Elephas maximus indicus: one gene and its partners. The protein of the gene in region 3 purifies or fractionates together with the protein of the main gene of each other region. This does not show direct contact. Links are inferred from orthologs where the notes say so. Each region holds a gene or a part of one and is shown on either strand. Other genes may lie near its edges.

Region 1 (7,931 bases), on a different chromosome or scaffold from region 3:
ACAGACCTGGCCCTGAAGCTGGGTGGGTTCTGGGGCGGATGGGAGACTGCCCGTGCACCCCATGGTCCAGCTCCTGCCAACTCCTGGAGTCTGGTGTGACTGCCCAGGGAATACCTGGGCTGGCCTGACTCCTGCCCAGCCACAGGACCAAGTCCACACAGAGGCTCAGCACCTCTCCGAGCAAGGCCTCTGAAGACTGACACTACGGGCACTCTGGGAAGGGCCCATGCCCTGGGGACCACAGCGTCCCCACTCTCCTGTCAGGGCACAACATTTAAGGAGGTGCTCACTCTGATGGCCCAGCAAATGCAGGTCGGTCTTGTGAGTTATTCTCACTAGGCCTCTAGTTCCCGTCCCGTGTCACACAAGGGAGCACTGCGCCTGCCTGCCAGCACCTCTGGGCAGAGCGGGAGAACGCTTCCAGCACAGGCACGAACATCAGCCTCCCTGAGGCCTTTGGGGGCTGGGCTCTGGGTGACAGAATCTGCAGGGTCCTGGACTGGGGCTGAGCTGAAAGAGGGGCTGCAGGGCTTTGGTGGGTGTCCTCAGATGTTGCAGGATGGGAACATCCCCTCCTTTCTAGGGCCAGGTAGCCCGCAGTCCTCTCTCTGCCAGAGCTGGGTTTTGGGGCTCACTGTCACCACCAGCCCCATTGTGTCCTGCACTGACCCCAGCCACTCAGGCTGCGTGCTAACCAGGGAGAACCACACGCCTGCACCCTGGCTGGCTCCCGCCCCATCGATGGGATCACAGATGGCTGTGATACAAGAGCAAAGCCTCTCTGGGGACCCTGCCCAGGCTTATGCCTGGTGGACGATGGCCGCAAACCCAGCCAAGTACAATGCTCCAGGCAAAGGCCTTTCCCAGAACACACAGAGGGTCCCGGAAGAGAGTGTGCTGGCCCAGAGGCCTGAGATGTGGTGCCTCACAGCCTCTGCAACCTCTAGGATCAGCCCCCTAATACCCCTCCCCCTCCTGTGAGCTAAGGGGAATGAGCAAGAGGTGGGAGGAGAGGGTCAGGGAGAAAGAAGCACTGGGTCATCTTGTCTGGCCAGGAAGGGTTGAGGTCTAGATGGAAGGGATGGCGGAAACATGAAGAGAGCATGCGGGGGAAGCCCACTGCCTCTTCCAGGGACCTGTACCTGGCATTAAAGAAATGGTGGTAGGGGATGGGGGGGTGGGTGGGTGGGGTAGGGGATACCCACACAGGAGATGGCAGGGAGCAGAGGCAAAAATTTCTCAGAAAAGCGCTTTGAGGGAGTGCAGGGTGAGTGCTCTACCCTTCTCTTTATCCCCAAATGCCCTCTGACAAGGCAGAGCTTCAGCCCAGACTTCTCTTCATTCCTACTGGCTCAAGGAGGAGTCCTCGGGTGGTGCAAATGGCTAAGACATTCACCTGCTAAGCAAAAGGTCAGAGGTTCAAGTCTGCCCAGATATACCTCAGCAGAAAGGCCTGGCAATCTACTTCAGAAAAATCAGCCACAGAAAACCATTTGGAGCACAGTTCTAGTCTGACACACATGGAGTCACTGGCAGTCGGAATCACTTGATGGCAACTAAGCTTAAGCAACTGGCCTACAAAAGGGCCATAGTTGCAGTCTGAGAAATTCCAATGTGTGAGCTCACAGGAAGTCTAAGTATGGCTGGAAGCACCCAGCCCTAACATGGTGTCTCCAAAAGTGCATTCCTTCAGGCCACCAATCACATCCCAGCCCTGAGCTGGGTCTGTGGCCCTCATCAGACACACTGTCACAGCCAGGATGTGAACAGCCATCTGAACGCCAACTCCAGACATAATCACGGATTAACTCCTACAAACCAGAGCTGTCGGGTACTTCAGGGTCAGGTCGCGTAAACAAGCCTGCTGCCGGGCAACGGACTACAAGGACGTGAACAGAGATGCCCCACCAGGAACGAAAAACAAAACTGCTCTAAGGAAACCCACTTCTGGGATCCGGAAACGCACAGGAGATCAGCTTGAGTTTATGACGTTTTACTTTCTGTTTTCATCCCCTTTCCTCTCCACTAGAGCAGCGCCCTGCGATTCATGTGCCAAGTTCTGATTTGCCTCTGAGTAACACCACCGCAGTAACACGTTGGAGATAAAAATCACCACTTTGGCACAATGTTCGTTAGAGAAACTGGACGTTTGGTCTAAGGACAGTACATCTCCACGCTTGTCCAACACTTAGCAAAGGAGCAAAGAACGAGAAGGTCCAGCCTTCCCTTCCCGTCCCGGAGAATCTTCAGCCGGTCAGCAGCTGAACGAGGAGGAGGCTGAGGACAGCAGCGTTGCTAGAGGCTGCCACCTCACCTGCTGAAAATCCCTGAAACCAAGTCGGGGTGTGGGAAGAGCAGGGCCGTTACCCCCAGGACCCTAAACATGCTTCAAAGCGGACCGAGTCTTGGAATTCCCTTTCCTACGGGGCAAACTCGAGACCTGCAGGCCTTGGAACCGAGCGGGGAGGCGTCCCCTGAAAACTTCGCGCCCCCACGGCGGTGGCTGGCTGGCTGGCTCCCCGCCCCGCCCACGGGGGGTGAGAGGCGGGAACCTGGCCCCCGCCTTCCCGGGCTCCCACCGGGACTCGCGGGCGGCCCTCGCCCCTCCCGGAGCGGCCTCCCTCCCACGGCGGGGCAGGACCCGCCCTCCCGCCGCCCGGCGGGCTCCCTCCCCGCCCTCCGACAGGCCGGCGGCCCCCTCACCGGGCTCCAGCAGATGAGCGCGTCGGTGTCCGGGTCGCTCACGAGGGTCCACAGCTTGGTCAGGAAGGCCGGGACGTTGCTGGGCCCTGCCGCGCCGGGGCCCACGGGCAGATCCATTTCGGACAAGGCAGGGAGAGGCAGAGACAGCGGCCGCGAGCAGAGGCCGAGGAACGGGCTAGCGCCGTCGCTGCACCCGCAGCCAGCGCCGCGCCGCCGCAGCCTCCCGCTGCGCACACACAGCCCCGGGGCCTACCATGGCCGCCGCCATCTTGGGACGGGCGCGCTCCCGCTGGCGCCGCCCGGCGGCCTGCGTCCCCACCGGCGCGCGCGCGCTCCCGGCTCTGGGCCCCTTCCCGGCCGCCACGCGCCTGCGCGGGATGGCTCTGCCCCGCCCCCCGCCACCGTTCACCAATCAACGCAGGCGGGGCGGGGCGGGCCGGCCGCGCCCTCTGACCCCGCTGCCACGCCCCGCAGGCGCACGCGGCGGGTCGCTGCCGGAAGCGGCTGTTTAAGCAGAGCAGGCTCACCGGAGGATGGCGGGCGCGCGGGGCGCGCGACGTGGGGCGGCTACGCAGTCGCGGCCCGGGAAGCGGCCCGCGGAGCCAGACCCGGAGCCCGAGCGGGAGTCGGAGCGGGAGCAGGAGGAGGTGACAGCGGGCGCGGGCCGGGGCGGCGGGCGCTGGGGCCGGGGCGGCGGCGGGCGGGCGAGGCCGAGCCCACGCGGCCGCACGTGCGGGGCGCCCCGAGGCTGCTGGGCGCATCCTCCGTGGCTGTGGCAGCGACACATCGCGCGGTGGCTGGGCGGAGAGGAGGCGTCAGAGTTGGCGAGGCTTCGGAGGTGAAGGTCGGGGATGGGGTTTCCTTTAACCGAAAGGGTATCGGTGCCGGGCTGCTGTTTGCAGGGGACCGCTCCAGGCGTGCCCAGGGCGGGTAGGATGGGACAGCCGCCTCCCTAAGCAACCTGGGGTTCGGCATTAATTTCACAGGCGGCGCAGGCGTTCCCGCCCTAGTGTCGGGTGGCATCCTAGTGGAGGCCTGTTGTTGATGGCTGTTCAAGCAAACCTCGCCGGCACGCAGCTAGGAGAGCCCACTCGAAGTGTGTGTCGGGCTGGAGCTGAGAGCGAGGATTGAGTCGCGTGGGGGAACTAGGAATCTAGGAAAGGTGCCGTGGGAATCGGGCCTTGCCTTCTAGTGGAGGCGGCGGCAGGGGAGGGGTCCAGGCAGAGGTGTCTAGGCAGTCTGGAATCAGGGGCACTTCTGTGGGGTTGGAGAACAGTGTCTAAGGAGGAGCGAAATGGGAAGAGGGTGGGAATGGAGGGCAGGGCATCACCCTGTCATTAAGAACATTTGAACTACAAGGACCAGAGAGCAGTGCTGAGACTGCTTGTGCACCAACACCTCGTGGGATTTGGTTTCTTGGTTTGGAGGTTCATGGTTTCACGGCATATCCCAGGTCACTGTTCAGTGCTTCTGTACTATTGCCTGGCGCTCTGTGTAGTGCCTGATGTCTTAAAAGCTTGCACGCTGCCATCTGAGGCACAATTGGTCTCCATTCACCTGGAACAACAGAGGAAAAAGGAAATTCAGGAGTAGGAGGAAGATACGGAACGTGTGGCTAACTGCCCCCATGAACAACTGCCTCTTTTACCATGAGACCAGAAGAACTGGATGGTGCCCAGCTACCGTGAATGAATGTTTTGATGAAACATTTTGTGGAAGAATCCTGATAAAAGGGGGGAAATGCAGAACAGAATTTCAGATTCTCATGGAATCCAGACTTCCTGGAGTCACAGAGGGTGCCCTGAGATCATCTTTAAACCTTAAATAAAAAATATTCTCTGAAGTCTTCTTAACACGAAACAGTAGTTTAGCTTAGCCAGTAAAGAATGTCTGCCTTGAGCATTATGGTCTTTTTAGCACTGTTTATATGGGACCACAGTGGCGACAGCAACTGGAGAATTAGATTGGAACCTTAGGGAGCAGTGAGAATGTGTTAATGAGGAGTAACCACTCAGAAAAGGGGGGTGAGAATAGTTGCACAACTCAAAGGGAATCATCATTGCTAAATTGTACTTGTAGAGCTGTTGGATTGGTGTGTTTTGCTGTGTACGTTCTCAACAAGAACCAATAAATGAAAACTTAAAGAACACTTGAGCTTGCTCCTCCAATATACGCTTAATTATGCAGTACTTGTTTGTATTATGAGGCTAATATGTTAGATATATTACAGCAAGGAGAAAAGGATGTTAGAACGCAGAAATGTAACTAGAGCCCAGTGGACAGTCTGCCTTTGAGCCTCTTGCATTGGACACGTTGTTTTAACTGAACCCACTTAGCACTGCTGGTTCTGCTTCCCAGCTCAATCCTGCTTGGTTGGGGGTTTCGTCACATCTGGAGCACAGAGGCACATCCGCTGGATCCTCTCACAGCTGACACCACTTAGCTGGATTGGTGGGAGCTGTCCCTCCTCTTTGTGAGATAAATTCACCTACACCGCCTCTGCTGCTGCCCACCCCTCATCCCCAGCAGGCAGTGCTCCACTCTGGTCGTGGCTGCGGCCATCACTTGGGCTGGGCACTCATCAAGAGTTTCTGTCGTGTTTGTTTCCAAACCAGCTTATGCCATTTCTACTTGCTTTTGTGATGTGTAGCTATCAAAACGTCAGAGATATAGTGTGAGCGTATGAGAGGGTCATATCTGTGAAAACAAAGTTTGATGCTAGAAACAGCTGGTGAGCATAGGCAAAGATGAAGTTGAGTGCTAGGGACCGCTGATAAACACAGGCTGTCCAATTAGGCGAGATGGTTGTGAAATGTTGAAGAAGGTGGGAATCCAGAATTCTGCATTCAGTTTGCTTCCTAAGCGCCTTTGCGTCCTTGTCCTTTGGTAAAGGCCACGCCAGGATCGCCCACTGTGCCTCCTCAGTCTCAGACTTTGGCCCAGAGAGCCAGGCCCTACACTGCATCACGTTTATGAATGACTTTAACCAACATTGTCAGTTTACTGATTGACTGGCTGTCCCAATCTCATGCGATGAGGAGGCTTTTGCTTCGGGTAGTAAAAGTCCCTCGTGGATTCTAATTCTCTGCTGTCCCCAGCCCCTTTCCTAGTAGTGCTCTCATGGCTCTGGGGACCTCGAATATCAGGGTGAGGCATGGGGGGTTTCAGTTGGCATGGAAAGCCGGTTTTGGGAAGGCAGTGAGAACTAAACTCTAAGAAGAGGATGGTGTCCTTGAAAAGTCTCTGTGTCTTGTGAGATACTGGGAAGTAAAACGCCCATTCAAGGGTGAACGGCGATGCTGTCAGTGGAGGTGGAAGATGGGAAAGGTCTGGGTTGGGCTGGATGGCTTGGGTGGAGGTGGAGGGTTGCTGCTGCTCAGAGCTGTGGTGGCGCCTGGAGGAGCCGGTCTCTGCTGTGCCTCCCTGTTCAGCACAGGGCCTGTGGGCAAGCAGGTGGGCAGGCAGGTGGGCAGGCAGCTCCAGCTGAACCAACACTCTCCTTCCCTGCAGCCCTCTTTCTGCAGCCCTGCTCCTAGTCACATCGATACCAGTGACTCTGGCCTCTCTAACAGCGAGGAGAGCGTGTTCTCCGGCCTAGAAGATTCTGGCAGTGACAACGACAGTGAGGATGGGGCCAACAGTGATGAAGGTCATGTCGGGACGGGGAAGACCATTGAGAAGCAGTCACAGGTGGGTGGGCAGGGCCTCCTGTGGGCCTCCCCAGAAGCCAGGCAACCAGGAGCAAGCAGTGCCTGCCAGGCCTGGGGCTCACCAAGAGGCTGTGCCTTTCTCCACAGCTCCCTCGGGAACCCCGTGGGCACCCCTTCCTCAGTGCCCCTGGGGCACCTTTAGTGCCAAGTGCAGCCACCTGTTTGTAGCTGGGGTAGCTGGGCTCCAGAACACTGGTTCCAGCCACAGTGGGTGTCAGTCACTGGGGAAAAACTATGTCACCCCCACAGGACAAGGGTGAACTCTCCTGGCCCAGCCAGACTTTAGCTTAGCAGAGCCTGGGGTGAGGCCCGTGTCCCAGCCCAGGGTACTTATGAGGAGTAGGTGGAGCACCTGGGCGACGGAAGAGAGCACGGAGCCTGGCTGACCCATGGGAGCCCTGCGGGGACCGGGGCCGGGTACTGTGATGATGGGGAAGGTTGATCCCTGCTCTTGATTTAAGGAAAGTGGGAGAAAAGCTTAATTTAACAAAATACAAACTGACTATGTTAAAAAGTTCTAGAAACTAGTTTACACCAGTTTGTACTTCAAACAGCCCTGGTGTTCTGGTATTCGTGACTTTGACTTACACAGAAGTCTACTCCTGTAAGAGCACCAAGAATGCTGTGGTTGTTTCAACTGGGTTTGATTTGTTTGGTAAGGAAGACGAGATGGAGCCACAGTTCACGTCCTCAGCATCTGCCATTTGGGACCTGCACTGACCCTGGTGCGAATGGCCGCGGGGCACGTCATCCCCGTTGGGAAGGGCCACATGCACTGTGCCTGTTTTGGCTTGTAGGATCATGGGAAACTTTCCCTCTCTTCTCAAAAGTACAAAATCTGCCCTCTCTGAAGAAAAGTCTGATGATATGTCAGCATGTTCAGTAATGAGTGTGTGTTCCCTTGCAGTGCCCTTGGCCCCAGGTGGTGAGTACAGCTGTCTCAGTCACCTAGTGCTGCTGTAACCGTGGGTAGCTCTAACAAATTTATTTTCTCATAGGCTGGAGTCTGAATTCAGGGTTCTGGTTCTAGGGGAAGGCTTTCTCTCCTTGTCTCCTTGAGCTTCTGCTCCTTTGTTTTCTTCTATTTCTCAAAAGAGATTGACTCAAGATACACTCTAAATTAATCCTGTCTCGTTAACATAGACAACCCATTCCCCAATGGGATTATAACCACAGGCATACCCCGGAAAAAACCAAAGCCTTTGCCGTTGAGTCAATTTCAACTCATAGAGGTTAGGATTTACAACACGGTATTTTTTGTGGACAGGACGTAATTCAGTCCATAACAATAGTTAATAGTTTTTGATTTCCAAGTCTCCCCGCTTTTTAAGTGAAGAAATCCACCTGTTTAGATTTAAGTTGTTTTCCTTTCACTGGATTCTCTAAAACAGGTGACGTGTCTGGGTATCTCAGATGATATCGCAGTGAGGGTTGAGGGGGAGGGCAGGTCTCCTCCGCTGTGGGCCTGAGTGGTGACAGGAAGGGCTGCACAGGGCTACACGGAGCTTGAGCTGGGTG
Region 2 (6,854 bases), on a different chromosome or scaffold from region 3:
CCAGACCCCTTGTTTGGACACTGATAACCTCCTGGAATGGCCCTCCCCCACCCACAGGGCTGGTAAAGGTCTAGGTGTTGGGAGGTCCCCTTCCAGCAAGAGAGTTGGAGCCCAGGCCCCAGGGATACCAGGATCCCACATTTCCCTATACTCTCCGAGGCTCAGGGCCACCCTCGATGCTGCCACAGTGCCACCTGGTGGTCCCTAGGGGAATGTCATCCCAGCACAGGAAGAAGCCACTCATGATTTGCAAAAAAACTCATGCTATTTTATTTCAACCTTTATCCAAAAATATAAAAAGGGGTAAAAATGCGTAGTCCTGAGCTTCAACTACTGACCTCCAATCTTCATGGGAAGGTGGGTGGGAGAGAGGGTCAGAAGTCCCAAATTCCTCCCACCCCTAGAGAAAAGGAAAGCCCCAGACATGGCTAGGTCTACAACAGGACCCTAAGTAAAATGGGCCCCCTTTTCTCCTAGCACCAACCCAAGCACCCACCACCCCCTGCCCCAAACCCCCCTCTTCAACAGAGAAGAAACATTTCAAATTCTTGAGACTTGTCCAGGAACATGGTGCATGGCACAAGTCACAGGCTGCTAGCTGACCTGAGGAGAGCAGATAAGGGCTCAGCATCTAGACCCCTACCTGCTCCTCTTGCCTCCTCCCCAGCCCACACCTCCCTGCTCCGTCCCTGACTCACCAAGGTGGGCTAGGGCCTGCCCCCTTGCTTCTTGGCAGGCAAGACAGGGCACAACTCAGCTTCCTCCTCCTCACTGTCTTCTTCCTCGCTCTCCTCCTCCTCAGAAACATCATTGCTTATAGTAACTGGTAGACACACAAGCAATAAGGGGGACGGGAGGAAGGCTGAAGCCATTCCTCCTTCACACCACATCATTTATTGGGCAATTCTTAATTATAGGCCTTGTGGTGCTAGGCTTACAGGAACCCTGACCGCCCATAGCTTATAGTCTAGTTGGAATGAGTCTTAGCCACCAGTTGGGTGCCAAAGAGCTACAGGAGTACACATCAATGGAGCAGGAGAAGCTGGGCCAGGTTCCATGAAGGAGGTGGGCTTGAGCAGAAGAGTAGAGGATACATGATGCAAGGGGCATAGCCTAGGGAAGGGGAGCATGTAGGGTCTGTATAGAGACTGCACTGCGCAATGAAGTGGAAATGGGGCAGGAGTGTGGGGAGGCCTGGAGTGGACTGGAGGCAAAGGAGAAGGCCCTCCCCTCACTCTCACCAATCTGGTGCCGCCCAGTGATTCGCACAGGGCCAGAGCCTGACTTTAGGCGGAAGGTTACAGGTGGTTGGAGCTGGAAGTCATCGAGGCTGAGCTGGAGGAAGAAAACGATAAAGGCTTGACCCCTTCCAGTCCTCACCCTGTCTGGTAGTGAGTCCCAAAGCTTTCAATCTCCAGCCAACCCCCACTCCCACCCCCCCAGGCAGGGGTGGATTATCCAATAAGATAAGCACAGCACTTGCCTTGCTTACCAGATCATCTGTAGTGAACATACCACATGTGAAACTTTTCACTGTAGACTATTAAGTCAGCACAAGTAAGCCCGTGCTTACCTTGCTTGCTGGGTCATTCACCCCTGTCAGGGATTGCAAATTTAAAGAGAGGCTTTGATTCTCTAAGAAGGTGCTGTGGGGTTGAAAGAGAGACAGATGCCAGCCATATCTAGAAGCAAAATCACTGATGTGGTGAAAAATGTGAAATTATTCACTACAGATGATGTGCTAAGCATGATAAACACCATGCTTACTTTGCCTATTGGCTAGTTCGCCCCTGCCCCCAAGTATGGCTTAAGAACTCACCATGGGTTGGCAGGACAACTTCAAGTTTGCCACAGGGACTGCAATCTCCTGATGGTCGTGGTTTCGTGCTACAACTTCCACCACATTACATTCATCCTTGGCCCCCTCGGTGAGGCAGAGCTGGGAAAGGTACACAGGGCTTCTACGTCTTGCAAGGCTTGAGGTGGAGCCATCTGCCCTAGAACTTGCTCAAACTCAAAGGTGCCTGGATAACCTTGCCGACGGAGTTGCCCATGTGGGGGTGAAGCAGAGGAGGTGACTCCCAGTAAAGTGGAGGAGGGAGAGGCTTGCCTAAGCTGAGCTAGTCTTCGCTGTACCCGCCGCCCCCTACCTCCTGCCTTTCCCTCACCATGGTCAAGGCCAGCACGTGCTCGGCATCATCCTCTTCCTCTACCTTGAAGGTGAAGGAGCGGGTGCGCCCAGAGAGCTCACAACCTGGGAGAAAGAACAGTGGAAGTGTGCGCGTGGGGCGGGAACATTTCACCAAGCCCCCGTCACGTGCAACCATCGACTGACCGGCACGTTACACGCCCACCAAACGTCCCTTCTTAGAAACACCTGGGGCGCTCCCCACTGGGTTCAGGGCCCGCCGTCTTCTTCCGCTCGAGCGTCGGCGCGCGGGGCCCGCTGTCGTCAAGGTCGGCGACGGAGTCCCTCCATCCCCACCCACGTCGTGCACCCAAACGGATTCCTGTGCCTCATCCCCGCCGTTTACCTAGGCCGCCTCAGCTCCACCCCCATCCCTTCCTTTCCCCAATACCGAAGAAAAAACTGTCCATAGTGACTGGGGCCGGGACGCGCAGGCCTCCGATACCCCCCGCCCGGGCTCGGCTTTCCCGGCTCAGGAACGCTAAGGCGGCGGCGGCGGTGGCGGCGGCCATGCTGCAAGAACCTTCTTGAAACTCCGCCTCCGACACGTACAAAGCCAGTGACACACGGCCAGTTCCGGCCCCGCCTCTTAAAGGAGACTCCCAGACTGAGAATGGACCGAGGTGGGACCGGTGCCTGGCTTCCCGCCCAGGAGGCTTCTGCTCAGACCTGTGTCAAGACCGCAAAGAAAGGGCGTAACATTACAGAAGCATGGATTTGGGGTTACTGTTAACGTCCTTGCTTATTTCCACGATCAAGGCTCTGTGAAAGCATCTTCTGCCTCCCTTTTCTTCAGCCCCTTGTTGTTGGGTGCTGTCAAGTGGGTTCCGACTCATAGCGACCCTCTATCAAGCATGATGTCCTTCTCGAAGGACTGATCCCTCCTGACATATCCAAAGTACGTGAGACAAAGTCTCGCCATCCTTGCTTTCTAAAGAGCATTCTGGTTGTACTTCTTCCAATATTTGTTGATTCTTCTGGCTGTCGTATATTCACTATTCTTTGCCAACACCCTAATTTAAAGACATCAATGCTTCTTTCTTCCTTATTCATTGTCCAACTTTCGGTATGCATATGATGCAACTGAAAATACCACGGCTTGGGTCAAGCACACCTTAGTCCTCAAAGCGACACTTCTGCTTTTTAACACTTAAAGAGGTCTTTTGCAGATTTGCCCAATGCAATATGTCGTTTGATTTTTTGACTACTCCTAGCACCCTCTATAGTTGCCCACTCTTCCAACCCAGAGTAAGATTTGTTGAGGAACGGAGGTAAGCCTTTCCTACTCCCTTCCCTAGCATAGGCAGGTTTCAGGGCAGCCTGAGTTCTTACAAAAGGATATGCACTTAACAGCTTCATGCTTGGCGTAACTTTTGACCCAAGAGAAGCCAAGGAGCCTGAAGACTTTCCATTCCAGGTTATTTCCACTCAAACTCACCCCAACTCCTCCATCTTCCTAGCCTAAGCATCTCCAAGATACGCTTCCTGCCCAAATGACACCTTCCTGTAGCACACTTGCCTCCCTCAACTGTCTTCTTTGAGCATCATATGCTTGCCTTGCTAGTACAGCACAAGTTAGCTCAGATGTGGGACCCACTGCTTGCTCTGACAGAACCACCCTTTACACCGTCTTTGAATTTGATTCCAAAATAGCCCAAGCACATCCTTCCTCCTTGGATTCTTCCCAACCTCACACAATTTGGGTTACTCCCCCCACCCGACCCTATCTTTCACCTTTTGAGCAAGAATCAGGCGAATTCTGCATTCCCTACCCTATTAGATGGCAGATAATCTTTCAAACTAGCTTTCCTATTTTACACCCAGGTTACAACTGTGGCAAGAGGTGACTTGGCCAGGAACTGGTCTGCTTTTTTAGGCTTGTGCCCCTGCCTTGATGATAATCTGGAAGGAAACCCTTTAGACAGGCAGCAGTGGGGAAAACTGCCTTCAAGATCTAGGCCCAAACTTCAAACAGCTGTGGAAATAAGTAATGCCTGCTTGTAGGCAAGGTGTGAAGGACCTGAAAAAAGGTAGGAGGCAGAAACAGGAACATGATTCACACAACACAACACTACACACGTTTACTTCAAGTTTTATTTTGCCTCTTGCATGGTCTTCAGATAGTTTTACAGTTTGTTTGCTACAGAAACCGAGATGTGCTCTGAACAATAAAGTGTCATTCCAACCTTAGTAAAAACGCATAACCATGGAAGATGTCAGCATAGCACTTTTACTATCCTACAGTGATGAAGGTTTAGGCCTGGACATCTGTTTCACAGTTCAGCATCTGTGACCAGAATACTGGCCAAAATGATTATTGAAAGCCAAGATAAAGCCAAAGCAAACTTGATAAAAATCCTGATTCCACAGGAGGCTGACCCTAAAATCCTCCAGATAAAATGCTAGTGTTGTCCACTAGTGTATGAAATACACTCAAAAGGAAAACTGAGTGATATTCAGCTGTTGGAAACAATATCTAGCAGGTATATTCCCCTTTCACTTCCTCTCAGCCCTCAAAAAAGCAAACTTGGTTCTTGCTTTCCAACATACCTTATCTTTCTATTAGGTAAAGGTTTCTACTCTGAAAATGAAGAGGACTCCTTCCTTCCCTTCCCTTCCCTTCTCACCCATTTAATGCACTCTCATGCCTTGGTTGAAGTCAAACTTGGTATAAAACTTTAAGACTCTCTCAAAGCCCACACTGATGGGAGTTCTATGAAGGAAAATATTTCACTTTTCCTTCTTCTTGCCCCTCCTGCCTCACTCAGCTCAAAGCTGAACAGCTGATGCAAAACTGTAGGGAAGCAAAATAACATAATGCTTTCACGAATCTATGAAGAAGTCAGCCAGCCATGATGAAAAAATGATTCCCGTGGAGATTACCTGCCAGCCTCATGCTCAGGCCCCTTAAAAACATCAAGTCCAAATTAAAATACATGAAGCTTTCAGAATTGGTGGTTAAAGAGGGGGAAAAAAAAAGTAACCATAAAGCATTGGTTAAAATGTACTCATTCTTTCTTTTAAAAATTAGATACAAACATGCAAGAATTAAAGACTCTGATTTAATAAAACCAGTACTAACAGGTCCTGAAATTAAAGGACAACTGATCTGAAGGAAATGAGACCAATTAGTCCCTGAACCCTACTTGACAGGTGTCAAAACTAACATTTCACATGCTGACCTGCTATTGTTAATTTCCCAAAGTGACTGTACTCTGCAACAGACTGAGTCCTACTTACAGAAGTTAGGCTCTCGTACCCCAAATGGTCATAGCCTAGCCCTAGGTGGGAGGCACTTTAAAAATAAAAAAACTTCTTCAAAAAAAAAAAACAAAAAAACCACAAAGATAGAAGCAAATCCATTTTCCACTATGATTTACATTATTCAAAGTGCCATCCTGAACTAACACCTTCTCATTTTTTAAAGAAAAAAAAAAAAAATTACAAAAACAGTAAACACAAGAATAATCAGGTTACAGCTAGTTTATATACAAAGAAATTTACAAGTTTGTCATTTTGAGGCTTTTGCCACAACTGCACATTTGTCCCTACAAAGCACAACATGCCTAAACCAAAGGTCGCTACAGGAGACAACTGGCTACGGCTTTACAAAAAGCAAAAAAACTGCCCAAAACTGAAATCATTTATTCAGCTTAAACTAATGCCACAACCATCCCACTTTGGAATCTCCACCCTGAAGCCTCCAAAACCCATTAAATCTTTCTCATCTCTGCCATGTCCCCAAAGAATGAAACATTTCATTCAATAAACCAAAGAAGATGACAGAAATGATTTTGATTACTCTTAGGTGAGAAATGCAACCACACTGGATTCAGAACACAGTGCTGACTACATTTATTGAAGACCCCTTCGCTATAAGCCCATGTAAGAGGTCTTGGCACCTAACGTAAGACCCAAAAAGGAGGCCCACACCTGTTTCATACAGGGTTTGCAGCAATACTACCTTCTTCCAACCAGTGAGTATTCTGAATGTGTGATGGATCAGTTTTACATAGTCTTCTTTGTTTCCTATCCAATTAGCTGATCTGTTGCCACTCCATAAGCTGAACTGTATGAAGACCCCAACCACCACCCACCAGGTAGTTAGGAGACTTTGGACAGTTCACAATGCCAATAAACGTCACAGGCTCCGGCCAAGTATAACCACATCCTTTGGAAAGCCTTCCATTTTTGCAATTTCAAAGCAGCCTAACTTGCTGTAAAATTCCAGAATTCTTTTATCATCTGGTCTCACTTCACAGAAAGCCCCCCGAGAGCCTAGAAATAGAACAAATATTCAAAACGTAAATAAGTCACTTAATTAGTAGAACTGTGGGTATGAATTGGGATTAATCTTTCCGGTGCAGTGGTTAAGTGCTTAGCTGCTAACCAAAATGTTGGCGGATCCAATCTACCAGCTGTTCCACAGGACAAAGATGTGGCAATCTGTTTCCGTAAACATCTACAGCCTTGAAAACCCTATGGAGCAGTTCTACTCTGTCCTATAGGGTCACTGAGTCGGGATTTGAGTCGACAGCAATGGGTCAGTGGGTTTAACATTCAATAGTGACTGAATCTCTTCCCCAGAAAAAAAATCTCTCAGGGAAGAGGGTGTAAGAAATTTCAAGGCAAAGAACACCTCAGTTCAAAACATATAAAGGTGTAT
Region 3 (7,582 bases):
CTTCGAAGGAGCACTCTGGCTGTACCTCTTCCAAGATGGATTTGTTTGTTCTTCTGGCAGTCCATTATATCTTCAATATTCTTCACCAACACAAGTCAAATCTGTCAATTTTTCTTTGGTCTTCCTTTTTCATTGTTCAGTTTTCACATGCATGTGAGGCGATTGAAAAGGTCATGGCTTGGGTCAGGCCCACCTTAGTTGTCAAAATGACATCTTTACTTTTTAAGATTTTGGTGAAAAGATCTTTTGCCACAGATTTGCCCAATGCAACATGTTGTTTCATTTCTTGACTGCTGCTTCCATGGGCACTGATGATGGCTACCCCTTTTTCAAAGGTTGTTTCAAAGATTAAATGAGTTAGCATATAGAGCACTGGAAGAGCACTGGGCACTTAGCCAGCACTATACAGTAAGACCTGTGAGAGCTAGAACTCCACAGCACTGCCTTGGTTTTCAGGGTCTCCCAAGTTTTCCCCCTTTGACAGTATCAAGGATTGAATTGTGTCCCCCCAATATATGTGTCAACTTGGTTATGCCATGATTCCCAATATTCTGTGGTTGTCCTCCATTTTGTGATTGTAATTTTATGTTAAAGGGGATTAGAGTGAGATTGTAACACCTTACTAGGTCACATCCTTGATCCAAGGTAAAGGGAGTTTCCCAGGGGTGTGGTCTGCACCACCTTTTATCTTTCAAGAGATAAAAAGGAAAGGGACGCCAGAAGATGGGGGGGAGAGGATGTCATAACACCAAGAAAGAAGCACCGGGAGCAGAGTGCTTCTTTGGACCTGGTGTTCCTGTGCAGAGAAGTTCCTAGTCCAGGGGAGGATTGACAAGAAGGACCTTCCTCCAGAACGAACACAGAGAGAAAGGCTTCCTTTGGAGCTGACACCCTGAATTTGGATTTGTAGCCTGTTAGACAGTGAGAGAATAAATTTCTCTTTGTTAAAACCATTCACTTGTGGTATTCATGTTATAGCAGCACCAGATGACTAAGACAGACATGGTGCAATCTTACCACTTTTTCATTGCTCTCTTAGTGGACAATATTTGAGTTTTCCTTCTCTGACAAGTTTCTGCCTCACACAGGTTCTGGCTTTCACAGGTTTTACTATGTAAGTACTCTGGAGTCCCTGGGCGGGGCAAACTGTTGAGTCCTTGGCTGCTAACTGGAAAATGGGCAGTTTGAATCCACCCAGAGGCACCTGGGAAGAAAGGCCTGGCAATCTACTTTCAAAAGGACACAGCCATTAAAAACCCTATGCACATTTCTAGTTTGCAACACATGGGGTCGTCATGACTCAGAATCTGCTTTATGGCAACTTTTTTTTTTTTAAATACATATATATAAGTACGCATGTATACGAATGTACCGTTGAGTCGATTCCAACTCCTAGTGACCCTACAGAACAGAGAACTGCCCTATACTGTTTCTAAGGAGCACCTGGTGGATTCAAACTGCCGACCTTTTGGTTAGCGGCCATAGCTCTTAACCACTACGCCATCAGGGTTTCCGTATGTAGTAAGTACTCAGTATTACTATTTTTCTACCCTGGACTGTGAGACTCAAAGTAACACACTTGAACCCACCGTAAGCTATACTGGCTCTCTCTGCTGCTTATTCTACCTAAATACAAGTAGTCCCCAACTTACGATATATTTGCGTTACAGTGAAACTTACACAGGCTTTACACTTTTTTTTTTTGTATATCTTATTGTTATTAAGAAAATATTGTTATTAGGAGCCCTGGTGATTCAAATCCACCAGCCAGTTCTTGGAAACCCTATGGGGCAGTTCTACTCTTCTACGGGGTAGCTATGAGTCGGCATCAACTCGACAGCAACAGGCTGTGTGCATGTATTGTTATTAATATATACTACATAAAATGTGGCAGCATATAATTTGCTGATATTCTCAGATGTAATGTTTCCAAATCCCAAAGACAAATAAAGATGAGATTTATAAAGATACTGATAATAAAAGGCAATAATAATGAAAACTAAAAAAAAAAAAAAAAATGAAGTGTTCGACTTATGCCAGAACCGACTTACGAGGGGAGTAGCAGTCAGAATGGAACCCTGTCATAAGTTGGGGACTACCTGTAGTTCAATTCCGTCATTCATTTAACAAGTAATTTTCAACATTATTGCGTGCCAGGCAATGTTCTGGGCACCAGGAATACAGTAGAGAACAATATATGTATTCTAATGTGGGGGTGGAGACAGACAGTAAGCAGACAAGAAAAATATCACATAGCAATAAGTACCTGCAAAGGATTCAGTAGGGGTGATGTGAGTTTCTGAGTGGGACTTTACATTGGGATCTGATCCGCAACGTATCATGCGGATGGCAAAGAGCTGGGCAGTATTTCATTCCATTGTGCTTAGGTCGCCATGAGTTGGCTAACAACAACTTTACACTGGAGGCCAGCGGAAGGCCTCTAGGGAGGACATATAAACAGATCTGAATGACAAGGAGCCAGCCATGCCATATTTCTAGAATTTGTCCTTGTCACTTGGTCATGCCCCCTTAATCTCTAGAACCTCTTCCCACAAGTGCCAAGTGTCCTCTGTGTCAAAATCACTGGAAACACCGAGGGTCTCATTAAAAAGTCTTATGCCTTGGCTCATGCTGTTCTTTTTGCCTGGGCGGCCACTTAGTAACCTATTTGCCCTCTTCCCTAGAGACCTGAGTGTGACTATCCTCAGGGGGTCTCCACAGGCCATCAGAGTCCAGGGTACAGACCTGGCCCCAGCCCCTTGCCCACACCAGAGAGCCCAGAGAGTTTCCTATTCACTGGGTTTCAGAAGTGTGCCAGAAAAAACTGCAAAATAACTTGATTGCTCACAAGAATCCCCATGGGCCCTTGTTAAAATTCAAAACCCAGGGCCCTAACCTAGACCTCTTGAATTATAGCATCCCTCTTGAATTATAGCATCCCAGGGGAGATTCTTTCTTTATAATTTTGTTGTGGTAAAATATATATAATAAAAAGTTTGCCATTGAAACTATTTCCATGTGTAGAATTCGGTGACATTAACTACATCCAGCATGTTGCGAACCATCACAACTATCCATCTTCCAAGGGTGAACTTTCGTATCAGTTCCGTGTGGGAAACAGCATCAAGGCTGAAGGTGTCCAGATTAGGAACATTTAGGTACCAGAGGCCCAGGATAGATCCTGGGAAGGTTCTAAACTAAAGCCAAGTGCTGTGGTTTGTTAAATTTGGCACCAACTATAAATTTTCACCCACAAAGTAACCCACTCAAATAATTGGCAAAATCACTGTACAAAGACAATTTTCTGTGCTTCCGCCATAGAGGTAACTTTTCCTTCGGCTTTCATCTACTCCTGGGCCATCTAGTGCCAAGGGCCACCCATCTGTAACATTTTAATGGCGCTTGAAGTCCACCTAGAGGCATCTGGGAAGAAAGGCCTGGCAATCTAGAAAAACCAGCCACTGAAAACCCTACGGAGCCCAGTGGGGTCGCCATGAGTCAACGCACGGTCTACCGGTTTATGGGTGGTGCAAACGGTTACTAACTAAAAGCTTGGAGGTTTGAGACCATCTAGAGACGCCTTGGAATTAAGACCTGGCAATGTACTATAAAAAAAAAAAAAAAAAAAAATTTTTTTTTTTTTTTTTAATGTACTACTGAAAAATCAGCCATTAAAAACCCTGTGGAGCACTGTGCTACGCTGACACACGTGGGGTCGCCATGGTACTGGTATTAGCCCCAAATAACAAGGGGGGAACTTCTGAGGTGGTCAAAGACCCAGCTGCAGTCTGCTGACCCAGGTTCATCTGCCGATCCCAGCGGTAAACCCTGAGACGGCCAGAAGCTTACGAGTCTGATCCCCGTGGGGAGGGAAATACCTACCGCATGAGGCTGTGGGATTAAATGAGATGTCTGTGCGCTTATCAGCAGAGCCTGAACACGGTAAGCCTCTTTATTAACAGTTCTCAGGGGACAGCTTCAGGCCCACGGCCTGGGAGCGTGTCACCTGTGCCCAGGGAGATGTTTCTGGTCCCTGGTTCGTGGATGGACGGGGCTAAGGTGGGCACCGAAAGGGGCAAAGTGAACCCTGGTCCCTAAACTTTGGGCGGGCTCGGGCTCATCAGCAGTTAAATGGGCCGAAATCCTCCCCACGGCCGCCGGGAGTCTCAGCGTGGAGTGCGGACCAGAGCCGCGCGTGGGGCACCGCAGGACCCGCAAAGGCCGCCCGAGGCGATAGGGCTCATTCGGGAGCTGCAGACCGCCAGCCCCCGCCCGCCCCAAGCCCGGGCCCACCCGGCGCCAAAATGTCCGTCTTACGGCGCAGGCGCCATAAGGCAGGCAGCGCAGGAGCACCCGGGGCCGCGCAGCCACCGCCCAATCAGCGCAGGCTTCGCACAAAGCCAAGCCCGCCCCCAGGTGCCGACACCAAGCCTCCCTCCCATCCCCCGCCGCCTTGGCCCGCCCACTCCCGCCCCGCGCCGTTCTCGGGGAGGGGCTCGCGATTGGCTCGCGGGATGGACGCGCGCTCTGATTGGCCAAGGCGGGGTCACGAGGGCGCCGTCGTCGCCTTTCCAGAGGCGATTACTGGGTAGGCTCCGTCTTTTGCCTCAGTCTCGAGCCCTAGCTGGCAGCGAAGCGTGCGCGCTCCAGGCTCTTCAGCACTCGCGGCCGCCATCGACGTCGCTTGGGTTCTTCTAGGCTCATCTGCGCCACTCACTCTCCACACACTCCGTCGTCACAAGCCGCCATCATGGTGAAGCTCGCGAAGGTAAGCGGCCTTGCAGGCGCAAGGCCGGGCGTCGGGGCCTGCTTCCCGAGGAGCGCGCGCGCGGCGCCGCGAGGAGGAGGGCCTGCGCGCCGTCCCGGGCGCGTTCGAGGTTCGCCATGCTGACGGAAGTCTCGCGCGAGAAGCGGGCGGGTCTCGCGGGTTTTGGCGACATGGAGACGCGGTGAAGAGCGCCTGCAGGTGCAGGGGGCGGTGGGCACGGCGGAGAGAGACTTCGGGGCTGCGCGCGGGAAGGGGCGCGGGGCCCCGGGTGGAGGGGTGAGGCCGGAGCCCGCGACGCGCGCGAGCTGGCCCCGCCTCCTGACGCACGTGCCCCGGCGCGCGGCCTGCCACGTGGGCCGCGCCGCGTGGGTCCCTGCGGCTCCGGAGAGGGCCGTGTTCTAGCGGAGAGCCGTGGGGCCGCGGGCCGGGGGCAGCGGCGGGGTGGGGTTAAGGCAGACGTCCGGCGGCCTACGGGGTCCCCGCGCGGCGAGCTGGCACGTGGTGAGCCCCGGATGGAGACGCCGCCTCCGCGTGTTTCTGCGTGCACATGGTGGCCTGGGAGACACCCCCACGTGGCCCGCTGGGCTCTGAAAGTTGGGGGGTTTCTCCGGGAAGGGAACACTGTTAAAAAGACCACAAGTGTTAAAAGGTGACTGAAAGATCGTGGTTTTTAATTTGAATTCGGACCACGTGCCCAGAATTTATCAAAGGCTTTTCGAGGGTAGTTTCCCAAGGGTAAAGGATTATGAATTGTTGGTTGCGCAGTGGGCCTGGCGCAAGGTATTGTATATTAAAAAACACTCAGAGCAATATTTAATAGTTAGGGGATAATGTTTTTAAAACAGCCGTGGTTCGGAAAGGCGACAGGAAGAGGGAGATCGTTTTTTTGACCTGTTATTCTAGGCTTGATTTTGTAGCTGTACAGACTGACAGGAAAAATACAGGTAGGTTGAAAATGCTGTCTTAAGTTGTATATTAAGACTAGTTTGCATGTTAATGGTATTTAGCGGCATGGAAACTGGATTCTGAGGAAGAAAGAACTGCATTTTACTACGTAGACTAATGGCAAAACATAAATGGCTTGAAATACTGGTGCAAATGTGGTGTGCTAATAGTTGTGTCCATTTTAGGCCGGTAAAAATCAAGGTGACCCCAAGAAAATGGCTCCTCCCCCTAAGGAGGTAGAAGAAGATAGTGAGGATGAGGAAATGTCAGAAGATGAAGAAGAAGAAGAAGAAGACAGCAGTGGAGAAGAGGTAATTATATGTGATTTGACACGGAATGACATTAAAACAAAATCAGGGAGGTGGTGTTAGGTGTTTGAAAATACTACCAAAACTGAAGGTTTATATTAATTCATACGTGGCCTTGTATGATGGTTGTCTCCCAAGCTTTTCTTTGACATATCAAGATGCAGTTTGGGTAAGTATTTGAGTATGAGTTTGAGACCTGACAAGATCTCAGATGCCTTTTTGCTGGCCCTTTCTTGGGGTAGGTGTGATGTGTTTAATAATTACATTTTTCTAGTTTTAACATTTTAGCTGCATACGTTAAATAAGGCCACAGCCTGGACAGTGGGCAGAACTGAGTATCATATTCAGGTCTGAGGAGTCCATCTTGTAGCCTTATCACATCTCTTGACTAGCTTCTAAGCAGGATCAATTGATCTGTATTTCACTGTGGAGAAGCTTTGTAACAATCGCATTGTGTTATTGTCTGTATGTGTTCAGGGTTGCCACTTGTCTTAGTGCTGACCCTCTTTAACACTCCTGCCCACTCTTTGTTCACTGTAAGGACAGCTAACCATTGGGCTCGTGCTCAGATTTTTTTCTTTTAAGATTTATAGAGGGTTTTATTCTTCCCACACGCTACGTGATAAAACTAATAATCAAAAAATAGCTTGCTCCCTCCCAACGTTTTTAATATACGCAACAGTATTCACCTTTCCAGCGTTTTTAACATGCACAGCGTCAGTTTACTGGCAGTTGATATGCATGTTCTTTGGTAATTTTGCCAAGGTTGACTGTCCAGCCTACTTACTGTTGAGCTTTTAATCTCTTATTTGAAGAACTGAGCTTTCAGTGATCTCTGTACGTACACTGACCGTTGCAGGATCCTCAAAGGAGATAATAGCACTTAAATATTTACAACTTTTTGTGTACAGGGCTGTAAGTAATTTAGCTATCGATTCATTTCATTTTTAGAACAACATTTAAGTTTGATATTATAGTTTTTAGATGAGGAAGTTGATGCTTAATATTTTTTAAAATTTGTCCAAGGCTGCACAGCTTCTGATGGATGGGATCTATTCCAGCTCTGATTTCAGAGTTGGTACTCTCTTAGGCTGTACAGCTGCAAAACTGGAGCAGTTAATTGGGATAAAAGTATGAGATGCAGAGATCTGGATTCTTGTGTTTTCAGGGTTTAAAAGCTGTATTTTATCTAAATTGAAAGATGAGGGTTGTAATTTCTCAGGTAAATAGAGGGGCATACTGTGTGCCCCTAGACTTTCATGAGTGCTTTAATGCATGTCATCTTAAACTAGAGGCAGTACCAGAGGATTTCTTAAATTTTCTTCTTCAGGTCATCATTCCTCAGAAAAAAGGCAAGAAGAATCCCGCGGTACCGTCCAAGAAGGTGGTGGTTTCCCCAACAAAAAAGGTGGTAGCTGCCCCACCGGCCAAGAAAGCAGCTGTCACCCCTGGCAAAAAAGCAGCAGCCACGCCGGCCAAGAAGACAGTTACACCAGCCAAAGCAGTAGCGACACCTGGCAAGAAGGGAGCCACCCCGGGCAAAGCAGCAGTGGCCACCCCT
Region 4 (7,599 bases), on a different chromosome or scaffold from region 3:
TTTGGAGTCACCCCCTCTGACAGTGTCACCTGGTGTGGTCTACACCCCTATGCCCCATAGTGACTCCCCTGGGACAGGGCCATGGATGACCATGGGCCAGGGAGACGGCACTCCATTTTCTGGTGGCTGCCAGTGATCTTTGGCATCTTTTGCAGCTTATGAATATATCTGCCTCCGTCGTCACATGGCGTCTGTCTTCCTTCTGTATGTGACCCTATCTCCACGTCTGTTCTCTCAGGACCCTCCAGTCATAGAGGGCCAGGACCCACCCTACTGTGGTATGACCTCATTAACGGACCACATCTGCAAAGACCCTGTTCTCCAAATATGGTCACATTTACAGGTGCAGGGTTAGGACTTCAACGTTTCTTCTGCGGGACACAGTTCAACCCACACAGACAGGTCCTTTGCAGGTTCCAGAGGGCTGCTCCATGTGAGGCCGATGCCTGGGTTCTCATGTCTGTTTCTGCTTGTCATAGGCTGGGTTTTCTAGAGAAGCAAAACCAGTAAAGCGCATAAATATACATAGAGAGAGATTTGTATCAAGGAAACGGCTCACGGGGTTGTAGAGGCTGGAACATCCCAAGTCTGCAGGTCAGGATAGAGACGTCTCCTGATCCAAGTAGCCGCAGGGACTGTTGAACCCAAGATTGGCAGATCAGAGTGCAGGGTTCTTGCTCACAGGCCGGGAACATCAATGAATCCCAGGATCGGGAGGCAAGACTGCAGGTAAGCTGCTTGTTCAAGTCCCAAGAACCGGAGGTCAGATGAACAGGACCCAGCCGCAGGATCCAGAGCAAGCAGACCCTGAGCCCTGCCAGAATGTTCGCTTATATTCAGTGCAGGCCACACGCCCAAGAAAACTCCCTTCCAACTGATTAGCTATTCACAGCAGATCCCATCATGGCGGTGACCACATATCAAATCTCAACGGGGAAGTGATCACAACATTACATGACTGCCAAAACACTGAGAATCATGGCCCAGCCAAGTTGACACATGATCTTAACCATCACACTGCTGAAGGACCAAGACCACTGAGAGGTGCCAGACCCAGGCCAGGAGGACTCAGGGTGGTGTCAGGGCATCCTGCTGACAGCCACTCTGATCCTGGTCTGGAGCAGGGCACCCGCATCTCATTCCTGCCTGCAGGGGAGGGTGCTGAGACTCTGCCTGCCCCTTCCCACTGTGAATCTCTGTCCCTGCTACCTGCTCTGGCCTCACCTCCCTGGAGGGCTCCCCAGAGGGCTCTCTTTAGGTACACACACCACCCTGAGCTATCTGTGTTTCCTGGGGTGTACTGTGCTGCTCCCTCCCCCCAGGCCTCCACAGGTGCCTGGCCCTAAACACTGCGCCTTCCCTGGCCCTGCTGGGCCTCTCCTCCTGGTTCTCAGTGTCAGCGAGAACATCACTTCCTCCGGAAGCTGGCCAAGGCTCTCCTGCTAGTGGTGGGGCAGGGGCAATCATCGGTGAACAGGGGCCAAGAAAGCAGCAGGCAGGGGGATGTGGCCATAGCTGGGAGGGGCCGGGAGGGCCTCTGAGGGGAGATGGCCATCCAGCTGGACCCCAGTGGCAGGAGGAAGGGACGATGTGGGCTCAGAGAATGTTGATACCATTCATAATCCCAAAAGGTGCATGCTCAGGCTCATGGGGCCTTCCTTCAAACCCACAAGGGCTGGGGGCATGGACCCCTGCAGCCTGGACACCGAGACCTTCCCACCCCCACCCGGGCTGGTCTGCTCTCTCCAGGGAGCACAAGGGCACAAACACACCCAGGGCTCTGCCCCTCTGGCTCCAGGAATGCCCTTGGCTGGGCAGGCCCTGGTAGTCTCTGCTCCTGCCGCACAGGTCAACCCTGGACAGCACTGGTCCTGAACAGAGAGCTTGAGGGGCGCCATCCAGGCTGAGAGTCACATGGCACTGGCTTGAGCAGGGCCTCGGAGCTGGTTTAGAGAAAGACCCGGCTGTAGCCCTGACCTCAAGCCTGTGCTCTCGGTGCTTAGCCCCCTTCTCTCACTTCCTCTTTCCAGGCCACCCACAGAGGCGGCGAGATACTGACAACAGCCCATACCCCCATCACACTGACCACTGGTTCAATGTTGTTCTAACTCTCTCCCACCCGCAAAGCTCAGTGTTGTTGCTGTCAGATCGGCTCTGACTCATGGTACCCCCACGCACAACAGACTGAAACATTGCCTGGTCCTGTGCCATCTTCAAGATCACTGGTACGCTGGAGTCCATTGCTGCAGCCACTGTGTATCGTGAGGGCCTCCCAGCCGAGGAGCTCATCTTCCAGCTCTGGATTGGACAATATTCTGCTGTGATCCATAAGGCTTTTATTGGCTAATTTTCAGAAGTAGATCACCAGGCCTTTCCTCCTGGTCTGTCTTACTCTGTCAACTTCGCTGAAACCTGCCCACCTGGTGGCATAGCTTCCAGCATCTCAGCAACATGAAAGCCACCACAGTATGACAGACTGACAGATGGGTGGGTGGTGAAGTAGGCAGTGCCCCCATTTTATAACTGCCTCAGCCTGCACAGGACACTACAACAGAGAGCTTCAAACCTCTGGAGTGACCCCAGGGAGAAGCCCCTACTCACAGCTGCTCCACTTACAGAATCCCCAAGGAACAGGCCCAGCTGCCCATGTGAGCCCCCTTACCCTGGCTCCCACCGGCTCCGAGGGCCAGCTCCGAGGTGGCTCTAACCACCTCGATGCCTCCACGCCCTCACGGCTTCTTTGGGGATCATCACCCACCACCGCCTCCCCCCAAAATTCAGGCTCAGACAGACCTGAAGGCTTTAAATGGATTTGAAATTTTATTCAATAGAAGGAAACTTGAAAAGGCTTAGGTTCTTTTCTTTTGTAGTTTCCTCAGCTGTTTATGCTTTTTTTTCCCCAAAAAAGTAAAGTAGGGTTATTTCAGACAAGTCAGAAAATCCAAATAAGGCAGATAGGAATTGGGACACTCCCCCTCCACCCCCAACACTCAGAACAGCTGAGCCAAGCTCACATGTGTGGTCACACCAAAGGCAGGAGCTGGTCACTCTGAGGTTTTTAACCTACATCATGTCCTTAACAACCTCCCAACTCAGAGCCTTTACAGGGTCTCTTCTTTTTCCCTGTTGTAAACAGCACAGGTTAGGAAAGATTTGGTGAAAAAAAAGGAGGAAAAAAATTCATTTTTTTTTTTTTCCAAAGCAACCCCACCCAAGGAAAAATTTCTGGAAAGATGGGCAAGAATAGTTAAAGACCCACAGCCACACTGGAGAGCCCAGAGATGAGGAGATAAGCCAGTCGCAAGCAAATAGTTGGCAGCTGGGACTTACATTTTCCAACCACATCGTCATCCTGCCCACGTTGGTTTTAGCTCAGTGTTTCTCCACAAACTGTGATTCTGAGAGTGTGGGGTTCGTGACCCCAGTCCCAACCCAGCCACAGGCTGGAGAGAACTGGATAGGGCAAGGTGAGGAGGGTCACCCCTACCTATACCCCACAGCTTCCTGGAGCGCCAGGGGCCCCTCAGAGAGCCCACCTCGCTTTGCTCTGGTAGGCTGTGCCCTGGGGGGGGGGGCAGGCTGTGCCCTGGGGGGGGGGGCAGGCTGTGCCCTGGGGGGGGGGCAGGCTGTGCCCTGGGGGGGGGCAGGCTGTGCCCTGGGGGGGGCAGGCTGTGCCCTGGGGGGGGGCAGGCTGTGCCCTGGGGGGGGCAGGCTGTGCCCTGGGGGGGGGCAGGCTGTGCCCTGGGGGGGCAGGCTGTGCCCGGGGGGGGGTAGGCTGTGCCCAGGAGCCCAAAGCACAAGAGGGGTTGGGGTGCAGACCGCCCCCCACCCCCAACACGAAGTAGGCAGTCCCCACTGTTGCAGGTGCAGAATGGGCCTCCACCCGGCCTGGGGTCCCGCAGGAGGTGACCTGTCGCCTGGGCCCTGAACGGTAACTGGACCCCAAGAATGGAGTGATGAGACAGGGTCCCGGGGGAAGGGGACGCCCCCTGCGGAGCTCTGACGGCGGGATGAGCCAGGCGACTACAGGAAGGGGCTGCACGAGCAGGGGCGCGGGGGAGGGGGCGGAATCACGAGCTAGGAGGCCGGGTGGAAACACGTGGGGAGGGACAGGGTGGGCGGCAGATCCGAGGGATGGCGGCGGCGGAGGGCGGCGCGGTAGGGCGCGGGCCCACGGGGCGCGGACCACGTGTGACGGGTGGACGCCATCCCGTTTTCTGGGAGGGGCGGTGCCAGTCCCGTGAAAGGGGCGGGAGAGGCGTCGGAGCGCGGGCTGCGCACGGGCGGAGCAGGACGCCCGGTGGAGCCGCCCGAGGAGGTGGAGGCCCGGGGGCGCCCCAGCCGCCCACGTGCTCCGCGGCGCCGACACTTTAAACCGGCGAGAGGAGCGCCGCGCGCGGCCGGGGCGCGGTCACGCGTCTCATTTGCATACGGCTCGCGCAGTCCAAGCGCGGCGCCCGCTCTGCCGCCTCTGATTGGTCTCCTTCGGCCTCGCCGAGGTGCGGTTGACATGCGCAGCTCTGGCCCAATCGCAGCCCGTCTTGCTTCTGGAGGGAGGTGCCCGGGTGGCGGTTCGGCCAATGGGGCGCTGCGTTATTGGCGGCCACGGCGGCGCTGCAGCCGGAGCGAGAGGAGCCGCCGCAGCCGCCGCCACTGCCGCAGAAGGCGTGAGGTGTGGAGCCGCGGGGTGCGGGCCTGGCCGGGTAACGGTGCTGCCGGGGGCGGGAGCCGGCAGGGCGGCGGGCGGGAGAAGGGCGCGGCGGGCCGGCCGCGGGCGCCGTCTGTGGGGGCCGCGCGGCTCGGGGCCAGGGGCGGGGCCCGCGGCCTCCTGCCTGGAGGCGGCCGCGGCCGAGCGCCGCCGGGACCGCGGGCCGGGCCTCCCCTCCCCCGCCGCCGCCGGCCCTGAAGGTCAGCGGCCTGGTCGTCTGGCTCCGGCCGGGTCCGCGGTGGCCGCGCGGCTCCCGCTCCGCCGACGGTGCCCTTGGGGAAGGTGAGGGCCTCGGGGCCGCTTCCCGCCCGGAGCTGGTGCGGTCAAATCTCCCGCCAGCGCGGCCGCCTCACGTGCCGGCCCCGAGGCCGGGCGGGGCCGGGCAGCGGCTCGAGGCTCCCCGGCGGTCGAGAGGCCGCGTTCGGGACTTCGCTTCCCGAGCGTGGGCTTCCCCGCGGGCTGGTGCGGCCCGGGCCCGGGTGGCTGGAGGCGGGCTAACGGCGGAGCTTCGTTTCCGAGCGCCTGGTGGGCTGGGGCCGCTCGACGACAGGCGCAGATCTCGGTGGTGTTGGTCAGCTGCCGCGGGGAGCTGGGCGGCAGAAACGGGGTGCTGGGCGGCAGAAACGGGGTGCTGGGCAACACGTGCTCTGCTGGGAAGGCCGCGGGCTCAGGCGCCTTAGGCGGGTGCCCCGAGGACGGTCGGTGGCGCTTCAGTTACCCCGGCATCGCAGGCGTCAGGTCTGCTTTAGGGGTTGAACCCATCCTTTAGGAGAGAAGATGTTTCCTCCCGAGGAAAAGAGGAGGAGTCGAGCAAGGCTTAGACGCCCTGGATGGGAAGGTTCCACTTGCCGTGCACAGAGGGTCTGGGAATGACTCTGACGTTGCCCAAAGGGGGTTAGTACTACACAGGTGTATGTTTTTACCGATTAAGTAACTTTTTTTTTTTTTTAAATAATCTCTTCCTTTTTTTATTGAGTGCTTCCTGTTCACGGCAGCCAAGGATTGCCTGGTTGGGACGAGGTCTTCCTTCCACCTTCCATCCTTCTCCTTAACTCGGCAGTAGCATCGCAAGTCTGATCGAGATAAGGGAGGCGGAGGTGCTTAGTGTCAGAAATTTTCATTCCCGCATTCAAAACCTTCAGACCCCCCGAATTGTGCCACTTGACATGTGTGGGTGAATGTTCATGTGTCTGGCAAGAAGGTCCATCGTTCTCTCCCCGATCTCAAAGGACTCTGTGATCCAACGTAGCTTAGGACGTATCTGGCCAGGCTTTGGGTCACCTACCCACGCCGAGTCACTTTCCCAGCTTCACAGCCCTAGGAGTCTCTTTTCATCTGCCTGTACTTAGTGTACTGTGTAGAAACAGGCTTGTGGAAACTTCTGTATTAAAGCTGAACGGGTACACAGGGTAAGTTCTTAGCTCTGCTGTTTAGGAGGTATTTTAAAGTTACTGCCCTTGACGTAGTGATAACTTCTCATGACTAGTGTTTATCATATGCCAGGGGCTGCTCTCCACTCTTTTGCATGTTAGTTCATTTCCTAGTGGCCTGTAAGATGGCTTCTATTTTTTTTCCTGTTCAATTAACCAGTGAGGTTAGGTTTAGTGACTTGTCCAAGTTGAGAGACCTTGGATTAATACCCAGGCAATTTTTCTCCAGAAGCTGTGTTTGATCTCACCTGGATACCTCCACTGGGTTTGTTGAGTTTCGATTTTTAACTTTGCCCAGATGTACCGCTTTCCTAAAGGGAAGGAAAGGCGTTTTAATGGAGAATTAGGTCCCCATTGGTGAGCTAAACCTAACTGAAGCCTGGATTATGAGGATTTGCGCTGGTTCTTGTTTTCCAGAAAGATCCACAGAGTACGAAATGCTTCCCGTGGTAGAATCTGGAGATTTCAGATTGGGATTAGCAGTTGTTAGAGGAATAACTGATAGGCAAATGTAAAATGAACTTCAAAGGAGGGAAGGACAGTGGTGATAAAGTAGGGAAATATTCCAAAGATTAAGTGAGTGACTAAAAATAAAGACCGGGGAGATGGTTTAAAAATCAGTTATCTAGCTCACTTGTTGAAGTGGAGTTGGGAAGAGAAAGAAGCCCTAGAAAATGAGTTTCCTCAGTTTATTAGCTGCTTCCTTGTTTGGGGACTAGAAAAAGACTTTCATTTTTTGGAGGTAAATTACCCTATTTTTCTGAGATTTGAGAGAATCTTAAAAGTAATACCTTTTTGGTCAGTAAAAACGCTACTGCAAAAGTTAAACTTGTATAGAATTATAGTGACAAAAAGGGACTCGTTTTACAGATGAAACAGGTATAGGGAGTGCAGCCTTCTCAAGTTTGCCTGGGGGCATTTTCACCAGAATCTTAAGGCCTCTTCTCATGGTACGATTTTATGAATTGTTTGAGCGTTGCCCTGCCGAGTTCAGTAGTTCCTGTGCCATAGGGTGTTTGCAGCCTGTTTTTTCCTAGTTGATCGGTGTTACTGATGCGGAGTGTCAGCAGGTTATCTCCACGAGCGTATCACGAGATGGCATCTGAACACATCTGCTCTACATTTTGTCTTACAAGCCTTGAGCCCTGCACTGTTTTTCATAACTCATACAGAGTAACGATTGGGAAATTGAATTCCTTGTCAGAGCTGATTTGACCATTCTCAGGTTTGATACGCTCATTACGCTGAATCCTGAAAAGGATTTTTAATACTAGTAAGTGGTCCTCTGAAAACGTGGAGGGCATTTTGATTTTGCGAACTGGCCATTTAGATTATCAGATTCTCTAGTGTTTTGAGCTTAGAGATTTTTATCTGTGTGAGTTAGTTCATGCTTCTGTGGAGATATTTTCAAGATAGAATGTGTTTAGCACCACATTGCAGCCTGGAGTTTGTACTTGAAAC

The links.
Region 1: the proteins of NCL (region 3) and HSF1 purify together in Homo sapiens (affinity purification with mass spectrometry; 3 studies listed by BioGRID, with this or other methods). This does not show direct contact. The link is inferred for Elephas maximus indicus from reciprocal best matches to the Homo sapiens genes NCL and HSF1.
Region 2: the proteins of NCL (region 3) and NPM3 fractionate together in Homo sapiens (co-fractionation; 4 studies listed by BioGRID and IntAct, with this or other methods). This does not show direct contact. The link is inferred for Elephas maximus indicus from reciprocal best matches to the Homo sapiens genes NCL and NPM3.
Region 4: the proteins of NCL (region 3) and NAP1L4 fractionate together in Homo sapiens (co-fractionation; 3 studies listed by BioGRID). This does not show direct contact. The link is inferred for Elephas maximus indicus from reciprocal best matches to the Homo sapiens genes NCL and NAP1L4.

The regions. Positions count from the first base shown.
Region 1 is NC_064833.1:674,137-682,067, forward strand, and holds the start of HSF1 (heat shock factor protein 1), read right to left. Parts: upstream 3,009-7,931; 5' UTR 2,821-3,008; coding exon 2,704-2,820; intron 1-2,703. Other genes in the region: ribosome biogenesis protein BOP1, read left to right, coding at 3,237-3,350, 6,214-6,393. UniProt on the Homo sapiens protein: Functions as a stress-inducible and DNA-binding transcription factor that plays a central role in the transcriptional activation of the heat shock response (HSR), leading to the expression of a large class of molecular chaperones, heat shock proteins (HSPs), that protect cells from cellular insult damage.
Region 2 is NC_064834.1:53,388,432-53,395,285, forward strand, and holds NPM3 (nucleoplasmin-3), read right to left. Parts: upstream 2,909-6,854; 5' UTR 2,701-2,908; coding exon 2,580-2,700; intron 2,255-2,579; coding exon 2,169-2,254; intron 1,940-2,168; coding exon 1,820-1,939; intron 1,336-1,819; coding exon 1,242-1,335; intron 824-1,241; coding exon 708-823; 3' UTR 699-707; intron 604-698; 3' UTR 507-603; downstream 1-506. Other genes in the region: OGA (protein O-GlcNAcase), read right to left, coding at 6,330-6,466. UniProt on the Homo sapiens protein: Plays a role in the regulation of diverse cellular processes such as ribosome biogenesis, chromatin remodeling or protein chaperoning. Modulates the histone chaperone function and the RNA-binding activity of nucleolar phosphoprotein B23/NPM.
Region 3 is NC_064824.1:133,752,378-133,759,959, reverse strand, and holds the start of NCL (nucleolin), read left to right. Parts: upstream 1-4,568; 5' UTR 4,569-4,750; coding exon 4,751-4,768; intron 4,769-5,898; coding exon 5,899-6,024; intron 6,025-7,351; coding exon 7,352-7,582. UniProt on the Homo sapiens protein: Nucleolin is the major nucleolar protein of growing eukaryotic cells. It is found associated with intranucleolar chromatin and pre-ribosomal particles. It induces chromatin decondensation by binding to histone H1.
Region 4 is NC_064825.1:134,919,635-134,927,233, forward strand, and holds the start of NAP1L4 (nucleosome assembly protein 1-like 4), read left to right. Parts: upstream 1-4,591; 5' UTR 4,592-4,703; intron 4,704-7,599. UniProt on the Homo sapiens protein: Acts as a histone chaperone in nucleosome assembly.